Oryzias latipes: one gene and its partner. The protein of the gene in region 1 purifies or fractionates together with the protein of each later gene. This does not show direct contact. Links are inferred from orthologs where the notes say so. Each region holds a gene or a part of one and is shown on either strand. Other genes may lie near its edges. The genes, in order: ppp2r5d and ppp2cb.

The links.
Region 2: the proteins of ppp2r5d (region 1) and ppp2cb purify together in Homo sapiens (affinity purification with mass spectrometry; 8 studies listed by BioGRID and IntAct, counting the BioPlex papers as one, with this or other methods). This does not show direct contact. The link is inferred for Oryzias latipes from reciprocal best matches to the Homo sapiens genes PPP2R5D and PPP2CB.

The regions. Positions count from the first base shown.
Region 1 is NC_019873.2:12,875,569-12,879,388, reverse strand, and holds part of ppp2r5d (serine/threonine-protein phosphatase 2A 56 kDa regulatory subunit delta isoform), read right to left. Parts: intron 3,544-3,820; coding exon 3,490-3,543; intron 3,395-3,489; coding exon 3,224-3,394; intron 1,519-3,223; coding exon 1,391-1,518; intron 713-1,390; coding exon 611-712; intron 319-610; coding exon 246-318; intron 85-245; coding exon 37-84; intron 1-36. UniProt on the Homo sapiens protein: The B regulatory subunit might modulate substrate selectivity and catalytic activity, and might also direct the localization of the catalytic enzyme to a particular subcellular compartment.
Region 2 is NC_019867.2:193,694-198,201, forward strand, and holds the end of ppp2cb (serine/threonine-protein phosphatase 2A catalytic subunit beta isoform), read left to right. Parts: intron 1-875; coding exon 876-1,046; intron 1,047-1,697; coding exon 1,698-1,871; intron 1,872-1,948; coding exon 1,949-2,038; intron 2,039-2,785; coding exon 2,786-2,947; intron 2,948-3,036; coding exon 3,037-3,155; intron 3,156-3,267; coding exon 3,268-3,340; 3' UTR 3,341-3,800; downstream 3,801-4,508.

The DNA of each region.
Region 1 (3,820 bases):
GACATGCATGCTACCTCACACCAAACATGGACTGACCTCCTCCTGTGGGTGAAGTCCACAACGGAGTGGGCGGAGCTTCTGACTCTAGAAAAGAATTTAAAAAAAATACAGATGACACGAACCCACAGGACTGTAGCCCAATCTCAAAAACACCTGTGACAGTCTGGATCATTTAAATGCATCCAACTTGTGACTTAAGACTTTATTTCTGACCTTTGGTCCAGAACAAAGTTGATAGTGAATACCTGAGGGTTCTGTTGGGCCAATACTTCAATTTTCTGCCAGATCTCATCACGCTCCTTCAGCTTGTACTTCTCTCTGTGGAGAACACACATAAACATCTGAACACAGGAACATTCGTGTCCACACAAACAAAAGAACCGATTAAACGGATCATCTGCTCATGCTGGGACCAACCAGACTTAGAACTTTGCATTATGAGGAACCATAGCTTTTGCTGGAGTGGCTATGTGTATGGCTGCGCGTGTTTGAGGGTCAAAGCAAAGTGTTAGGGTCAAATTATGACAAATTTATGGAGGTAGTTGTGTTCTTGGTAATATGATCTGTGAATTTGTTCCTGCTGAGTCCAGCAGGGGTCAGTGTGGCGCACCTCTGTTTCTCAGCTTTGTACTGCTGTGTGCAGTCATCAAACAGCTTCTGGTTCATCTCCATGAAGAGCTTCAGGGCGTTGTAGATCAGCCCATGGATGGTTCTGAAAAAGAAGGGAAATGCTTCACAAGTTCATGCATCAAATCCTCAGAACTTAATGAGAGCCTCCAAACAGAGACCTAGCCTGTAAGTGCTCCTGGTTTCAAACATAATTTTCAGCCTTTAACTCTAAATTTAGATGTAAAAACAAACATGTAGGGCCCCGTTTAGATGAAGGGGGCACACCGATGCAGTTGGGGAGGGCTGAACACACAGACGTTACAGAAAAATGAGGTGGAAGCTTGCTTTTAATGATCGTGTTTGAGAGTGAAGACGCTCCAATGGAGCCAAAGGTTACACTCCCCAGCGCTGAAGAAAAACAGAACACAACCGTTGGCTATGACGCACACACATCAGTGCACGTGAGGAGGGTTTGTTCTCACTGCCATCAAGCCCTCGCTGATGGAAACAGCAGATCCAACTGATCAATCTCAAGGTCACATTAGGACAGTGACCATTCAGCCCCCCCCTGCATGAAATGTTGATAGAATTGCTGCCCCCATGGGCAACTTCTGTCCTCGTGTCTCATTGCACTTCTTCTGTAGCTTTGTTCATTGAGGCTTTATAAACCTAAATGACATTTATGCAGACATACTTCTAGAATAAATCTATGCTTTAAACAGGAGATACTGTCTGTGTGTGTGTGTGTGTGTGTGTGCACGCGTGTGTGCACGTGTATTACTTGTTCCAGTGGCTCTTTGAGTTCTTGTAGAGGGCGGGGAACATGATGGGGAGGATCTTGGCAGCATTGTCACTAATCAGGCTCATGATGTACTCATTGTTCCAGTAGTACAGGGCTCTCTCTGCCACCTGCACAAAAACAACAACAAGCACAAAAACATACACAACATTATTAAAATCCTCCATGGGCATCAAGAACCAGCAGGAATTCGAACACATTCCTGAGCTGCAGCTCACAGTCAGCAGTGAAATGTCATGTTTGTGCAAACACTTGCCTTAACGTTCCTTCCACTTATGTTGCTGCTGCCGCAGACAAAAAGAATTTCCCCATCGTGGGATTAATAAAGCCCATCTAATCTAATCTAATGTTTGCATGAAACTTATATTTTGTAACTGAATAAACCTGTGTGTGTTTGTCAAAATGTATGCATTTGCACAAACCCATGCTTAACTTGATGAGCCACTGCAATGGAAATCGTGTTTTTAACACGTTCTTGTAGCATTTTTCCGATGGAGGACATTTATAAAGAAAATAGCTGTTTGAAAAAGAGCATATGTGTGATAGAAAACACACTGGGCGGGTCATAAGCTGCCTGCTCTGAGCTCTCAGCATCGGGGAGGGGAAGAGGGGGTGGGGTTGCTCTGCGCCATTGGTTCCTCCCACAATTTAAGCAAATTTCCAATGACCTACTGTCGCTCTGCAGAAACTATGTCCTAAAAAGCGATACAGATTTTTTGATTTTGGCTGAAAACAACATAACTATAATTGAAAGAATATGGGGAACTCTTTAATAATAAATCAAAGGATGATCAGAGCGGGTCTTTAAACCTTTCTGCATACATGTTTGTTAGACTGCAAACACGTGGTTCACTGGTCCGCCCCACAATTTTAACTTCCACTTTAGACACCACACACAGAGGGACCCAGGGGTGGGGGGCTCTGCTGCTTGGCAGCGGTAGGGCCCGCCACACTGGAGACCTCCTATTTTACCTGCAACACACACACAGTACACCCGCACCACCATACATAGATGGGATCAGGGAGGGGGGGTGTCGATCGGCCTGAGGGTGGTTACTGCGTGGCGACGGGGGGTGGGGGGCAACCAGAAGATTGTGTGTGTGTGTGCGTGCGAGAGTGCATGGGTGGGGACAGACCTTGGGGCTGGCTCGCTGTGACACGCAGGGGCTTACCCTCCCCATTGTAGAGGGGGGAGGGCATTAGGGGTGATATGGGAGGAGGTGTCGAGGAACATGGCAGGTGAGGGGGTCATAGAGCGTTGAGTAGTGGGGGGTGGTGCTGTGGTTGCGCGGGTAATCACTGCCACACTGCTCCCTGTCTGCTTCATCCCTCCTCCTAACCCACAGTGTATTGATGGACAGATGTCTTCCGCTCATCTTAGTTTTAGAATTTCACCTTCGGATGTAATATTTGTCTTTTCAGCAGATCTGGTATAATTGTTACACAGCTTAAAATAATAACTTATTCAAATCGGCGCTTGTATTCCCCACTCTCTCCCTCTCTCTCCCTTTTATTCTCTTCAACCCCCCCCCCCCCCCCCACACACACACACACACACTTTTCCCCTCTCCCTCCCCGCACACACTAAATGTAACAAATAAATAAAGAATAATAAAAATTTTAAAAAAGGGGGTTTATATACATTTACATTCTGATTATCTGAAGATATATAACCTCTTTTTGTGACAGTAAAACCTGTCCAACACGAAAAGCCTTCAGCGCTCATCTGTTTGCTCAGTTGTTGGACAGAACAAGTTAAAAAATAACAAAAAGACTGGAGGCATGTGATGGAAAAAGCGGTCTTGGTTGAGATACCTGGAAGTGTGGGCTGGAAACACACTTGGCGAGCTGTCTGAAGAGTGGCTCCTGGACTTTCACAAACTCCGAGGGTTCAATGACGTCCAGAATCTCTTCGAGCTCGTTCAAGAACATCACCTCCTTTGGACTGTGGGTTTTGGGCCAGAACTTTAGCAGACCCATTATCACCTGTTGAGGGCAAAGACAAGGTTCTGTTTAGAGAGCTTCACCAGAGCTCCTGCATTCAGGAACCAACAGCAACCCAAACTGTGTTGAGTACTTACAGGCTCCGTCAGACTGCTGTCCTTCTCCAAGAACTGGACCACACAGTATGCCAGCTGCAGACACACAAGTAGGGGGTGATCAGCAGCAAACACACATTCAGGAACCAGCACACATGCACACACCAGGGGTTCCTACGTGTTCCTCTAAGTTCAATTTAAGACTTTTTTTAAAAAAAAAACCCTTTTTAAAATCTTGCTATGAAAAACTAAGACCAATTTCTCTATAGAGAAAACCTTGAATTTCAGAACAATTACTTGTCAGTAAGACAGTGACGTGATATACAGAATAATTTATTTAGCCCAAAATCACAACAACAATCGTCTTAATGGG
Region 2 (4,508 bases), on another chromosome or scaffold:
TTGTACCAGAATCCAGGACGACCTGGAGGACAAAACTGCTGGATTCACAGCAGCAACAGAACGTTGATAAAAAGGGTGGATTTGGAGACAGCGGGTCGTTACACACTGATGCTACCATGCTATGATACTAAATGCTACCATGCTATATGCTACCATGCTATGATACTAAATGCTACCATGCTATGATACTAAATGCTACCATGCTATAATGCTAAATGCTACCATGCTATAATGCTAAATGCTACCATGCTATGATACTAAATGCTACCATGGTATGATGCTAAATGCTACCATGCTATGATACTAAATGCTACCATGCTATGATACTAAATGCTACCATGCTATGATACTAAATGCTACCATGCTATGATACTAAATGCTACCATGCTATGATACTAAATGCTACCATGCTATGATACTAAATGCTACCATGCTATATGCTACCATGCTATGATACTAAATGCTACCATGCTATGATGCTAAATGCTACCATGCTATGATACTAAATGCTACCATGTTATGATACTAAATGCTACCATGCTATGATGCTAAATGCTACCATGCTATGATACTAAATGCTACCATGCTAAATGCTACCATGCTATGACGCTAAATGTTACCGTGCTATGACACTAAATGCTACCGTGCTATGATAATAAATGCTACCATGCTAAATGCTACCATGCTATGATGCTAAATGCTACCATGCTACATGCTACCCTGCAATGATGCTAAATGCTACCATGCTATGCTAACGAGCTGTTCCGTGTGTCATCTACATGTGATCACGGTTTAGTCAGACTTTGTTTTCACGTAGCGGATTTTAATACATGACGGATAAATGCAACATGACTTGATGATGACGGTCTCCTCAGGTGCGATGCCCGGTGACCGTGTGCGGCGACGTTCACGGTCAGTTCCATGACCTGATGGAGCTCTTTAAGATCGGAGGGAAGTCTCCAGACACCAACTACCTGTTCATGGGAGACTACGTGGACAGGGGCTACTACTCTGTGGAGACGGTCACGCTGCTCGTCACGTTAAAGGTAACCCTCGTTAGCAGACCTTCCTGCTGAGAGTGGGAGCGCCTGAGGAGGTGGGACTGCATCTGATTGTTGTCAGCAGTCTTCTGTGGTCACACCTGCACAACTGTCAGGTTTCTGCCAAATGGTAATATGGGAGGCCGTACCTGCAGTTGGAAGAGGTGTGTTTGTGTGGCAGAGCGGCAGCGGCAGTGTTGTGTGTTCCTTTCTGTGTGTTTCTATGTTTCCGTGTGTGTTTGTGTTTCTGTGTTCGTTTCAAGGTTTCCGTGTTTCTATGTGTCCGTGTGTGTCTGTGTGTTTGTGTTTTCTCTGCGAGTTGGCGGCTGTTTTAAGAAGAAATGTTCTTAAAGGTTACCTGTTTTTAATCTTAATGGTTGTCCGTTTTGGACCGCAGACACTTCTCCTGAATAAGGAAATTAATCTTGAAGTCGGTCTTTTCAGTGGCTGTAACTCCGCCCACCTCCTCAAAGTTTGCTGTAAAGGCGGAGTCAGAGGTCCCGCCTCTGCGTGCAGCTTTGTGGTTGTCGTTGGAGGACTTTAGTCTCGTTAACCAGATCGCAGAGGTCTTTCCTCGGTTTCTCCGGAGGTGTGCGATGTGTGATGCTGTGGAACCTGCTGGCAGCTGGCAGTGTTCATGTGAGGTTTCATGCGCAGGTTCGATTCCCAGAGAGGATCACTATACTGCGAGGGAACCACGAGTCCCGTCAGATCACACAGGTCTACGGATTCTATGACGAGTGTCTGCGGAAATACGGCAACGCCAACGTCTGGAAGTACTTCACAGACCTGTTTGACTACCTGCCGCTCACTGCGCTGGTGGACGGGCAGGTGAGAGCCGCTACACCCAGACCGTCAGGCCATGGAAGCAGGAGCTCTACAGACACTGTCCTTTGCTGTCCTTTCAGATTTTCTGTCTCCACGGCGGCCTGTCTCCCTCCATAGACACTCTGGACCACATACGAGCTCTGGACCGCCTGCAGGAGGTCCCGCATGAGGTACACGCTCCTCACTGGACGTCCCGCTCAAGTGTTTTGGGCCTTACGTCATTCCAATCCTTTGATTTGGAGTTTGTGCCGATACAGAGTCCTGATCCAAAACTTTTGTGAAGTACTTTAAAAAAAAACAAAAAAAAAAACAAATTAATGAACAGATCCATTTTTTCTTTTATTCTCCTCCTTTTATCATTCAACACTTCTACGATTAAGTAAATCCTGCAGCTATCTAGTACGAATAGTTAACTATAAACTAGTCAAAACTGCTGATAATCATGGCAGAAAGTTTGGGGACTGAAGCTTTAGTATCCTCAGAATTGTTGAACATTTTTAATCGGAACAGGAAAAAATCTCAGCGCCGTTTTCAATCCTGATGGTTTTTCTCTTAAAATCCTTTCGTAGGTCGTTGTTTACGTGACACTTGCCGTCAGTTGAAAACATTTTATTAAGAGTCATTGACCCGGAACTCGAAGCTGTGAAAAATTGTGGTGATTCGTTGATGAAATGCAGACTTCTAGTAGAGTATTTATCTGGAATAATAAGCTTGAAATGATGGTATAATCGGGTTAGGGTTATGTCCGATCGGGAGACACGTCTGATTTCAATCCAGTCTGCAACCGATCGATCAACTCCGGTTTGCGATCACGTGGTCGGAGCGGGACAGCCCCGACAGCAGCGTCCTCCTCTGCTGCAGAGCAGAAGGTAAGAGCTGCACAGGTTGGTGTTAATCTGACTCCCCCCACCCCCCAGGGCCCCATGTGCGACCTGCTGTGGTCTGACCCGGATGACCGCGGTGGGTGGGGCATCTCTCCCAGAGGTGCTGGCTACACTTTTGGACAGGACATTTCTGAAACCTTCAACCACGCCAACGGCCTAACTCTGGTGTCCCGCGCCCATCAGCTGGTCATGGAGGTGAGACTCCTCATACACACACACACACCCCCGGCTGTTAGGATGGATGGGCCGTTTGTGATCATGCACCCCCACCCCTCTGTCTGCAGGGCTACAACTGGGGTCACGACAAGAACGTGGTGACCATCTTCAGCGCCCCCAACTACTGCTATCGCTGCGGCAACCAGGCAGCCATCATGGAACTGGACGACACCCTGAAGTACTCTTTGTAAGTCCCACCCCCCCGGGTGTCTCTGGATGGAACATTCCTAGAGAGTCCAATCATCATTTCATCCAACGTGTCTCTGAATCGCACCTTTACTTTCATCCTCTCTCTACAGCCTGCAGTTTGACCCCGCCCCCCGCCGCGGCGAGCCTCATGTGACTAGACGCACTCCTGACTACTTCCTGTGAATGTCCTATTGTCCCCCATAAGTCATTCACCAAGCCCCGCCCCTGCCCCACCCCTCTCATTTTGAATGGAGAAGATGCATTGAGCAGATTCAACAGAGCGGTGATGTCACTAAAGCTGAGCTTCAGCCGCATGTTAACCTTCATCTTCTCCATCTGACATGTTTGAAAACAGGAGAATAAAAAAGTACCGACGTGGACCAAATGTGCCATATTTTGATCCTTTTCCAACAACTGTTTTTGTTTTTTAGAGCTCACTATATCCCCGCCCGTCTCCACCTTCATCCATCTGTGCTTTCTTTCTGTTGCCAGATCAGTTTAAAGGAAACGTAGGAGAGTTTGCTTCAGTAGAACAGCTCTGAGTTTCAGCTGTTAAGGCTGCAGCCAGCAGTCATCTCTACTATATTACTGTAATTTCAATGAAGACAACAGACATGTGAAATAAAATGTCCTATTGACAAACCGCTGCTGTCCGTCTGCTCTGTGCCAAACAAACTGACAAACCTGGATGACATCACAGGGGTTCACTGACACCTGGATGACATCACAGGGGTTCACTGACACCTGGATGACATCACAGGGGTTCACTGACACCTGGATGACATCACAGGGGTTCACTGACACCTGGATGACATCACAGGGATTCACTGACACCTGGATGACATCACAGGGATTCACTGACACCTGGATGACATCACAGGGATTCACTAGCTGAATTTACATGGACAAAAGTAATCGGAAAGAACGCCTGATCGGAAGAAAAATGCGTCATGTAAACACGCCGTTCGTAATACTCTGACTTGTTCGGATCAAAATTTCTTTCCGATCGAGATAGGTGGGTTATGCCGATTGTGGATTCGATCGTTGTTCATGTAAACAGTTCATTCCGATCGTGTGTCACTACTGCTCTGGTTTGACGTCATACATAGATGGTGTTTTGCTCCATAGAAGCTTTGGACCGACCTGCTGCGTAGATTTATATGACAGCAAGGATGTTTACTGTGGGACTCATTTACTTTTCTGGTATTTTCAACACTACTGCGCATGCCCAAATGATTTAGTGTGACCTTGTGAACGGAAAAAGGTTTTCTGATCCCATGTGCACGGTTGATATTTTAATCCGACCATTGATCCGATCGTTATTTTGCCCATGTAACAGCGGCTACTGACA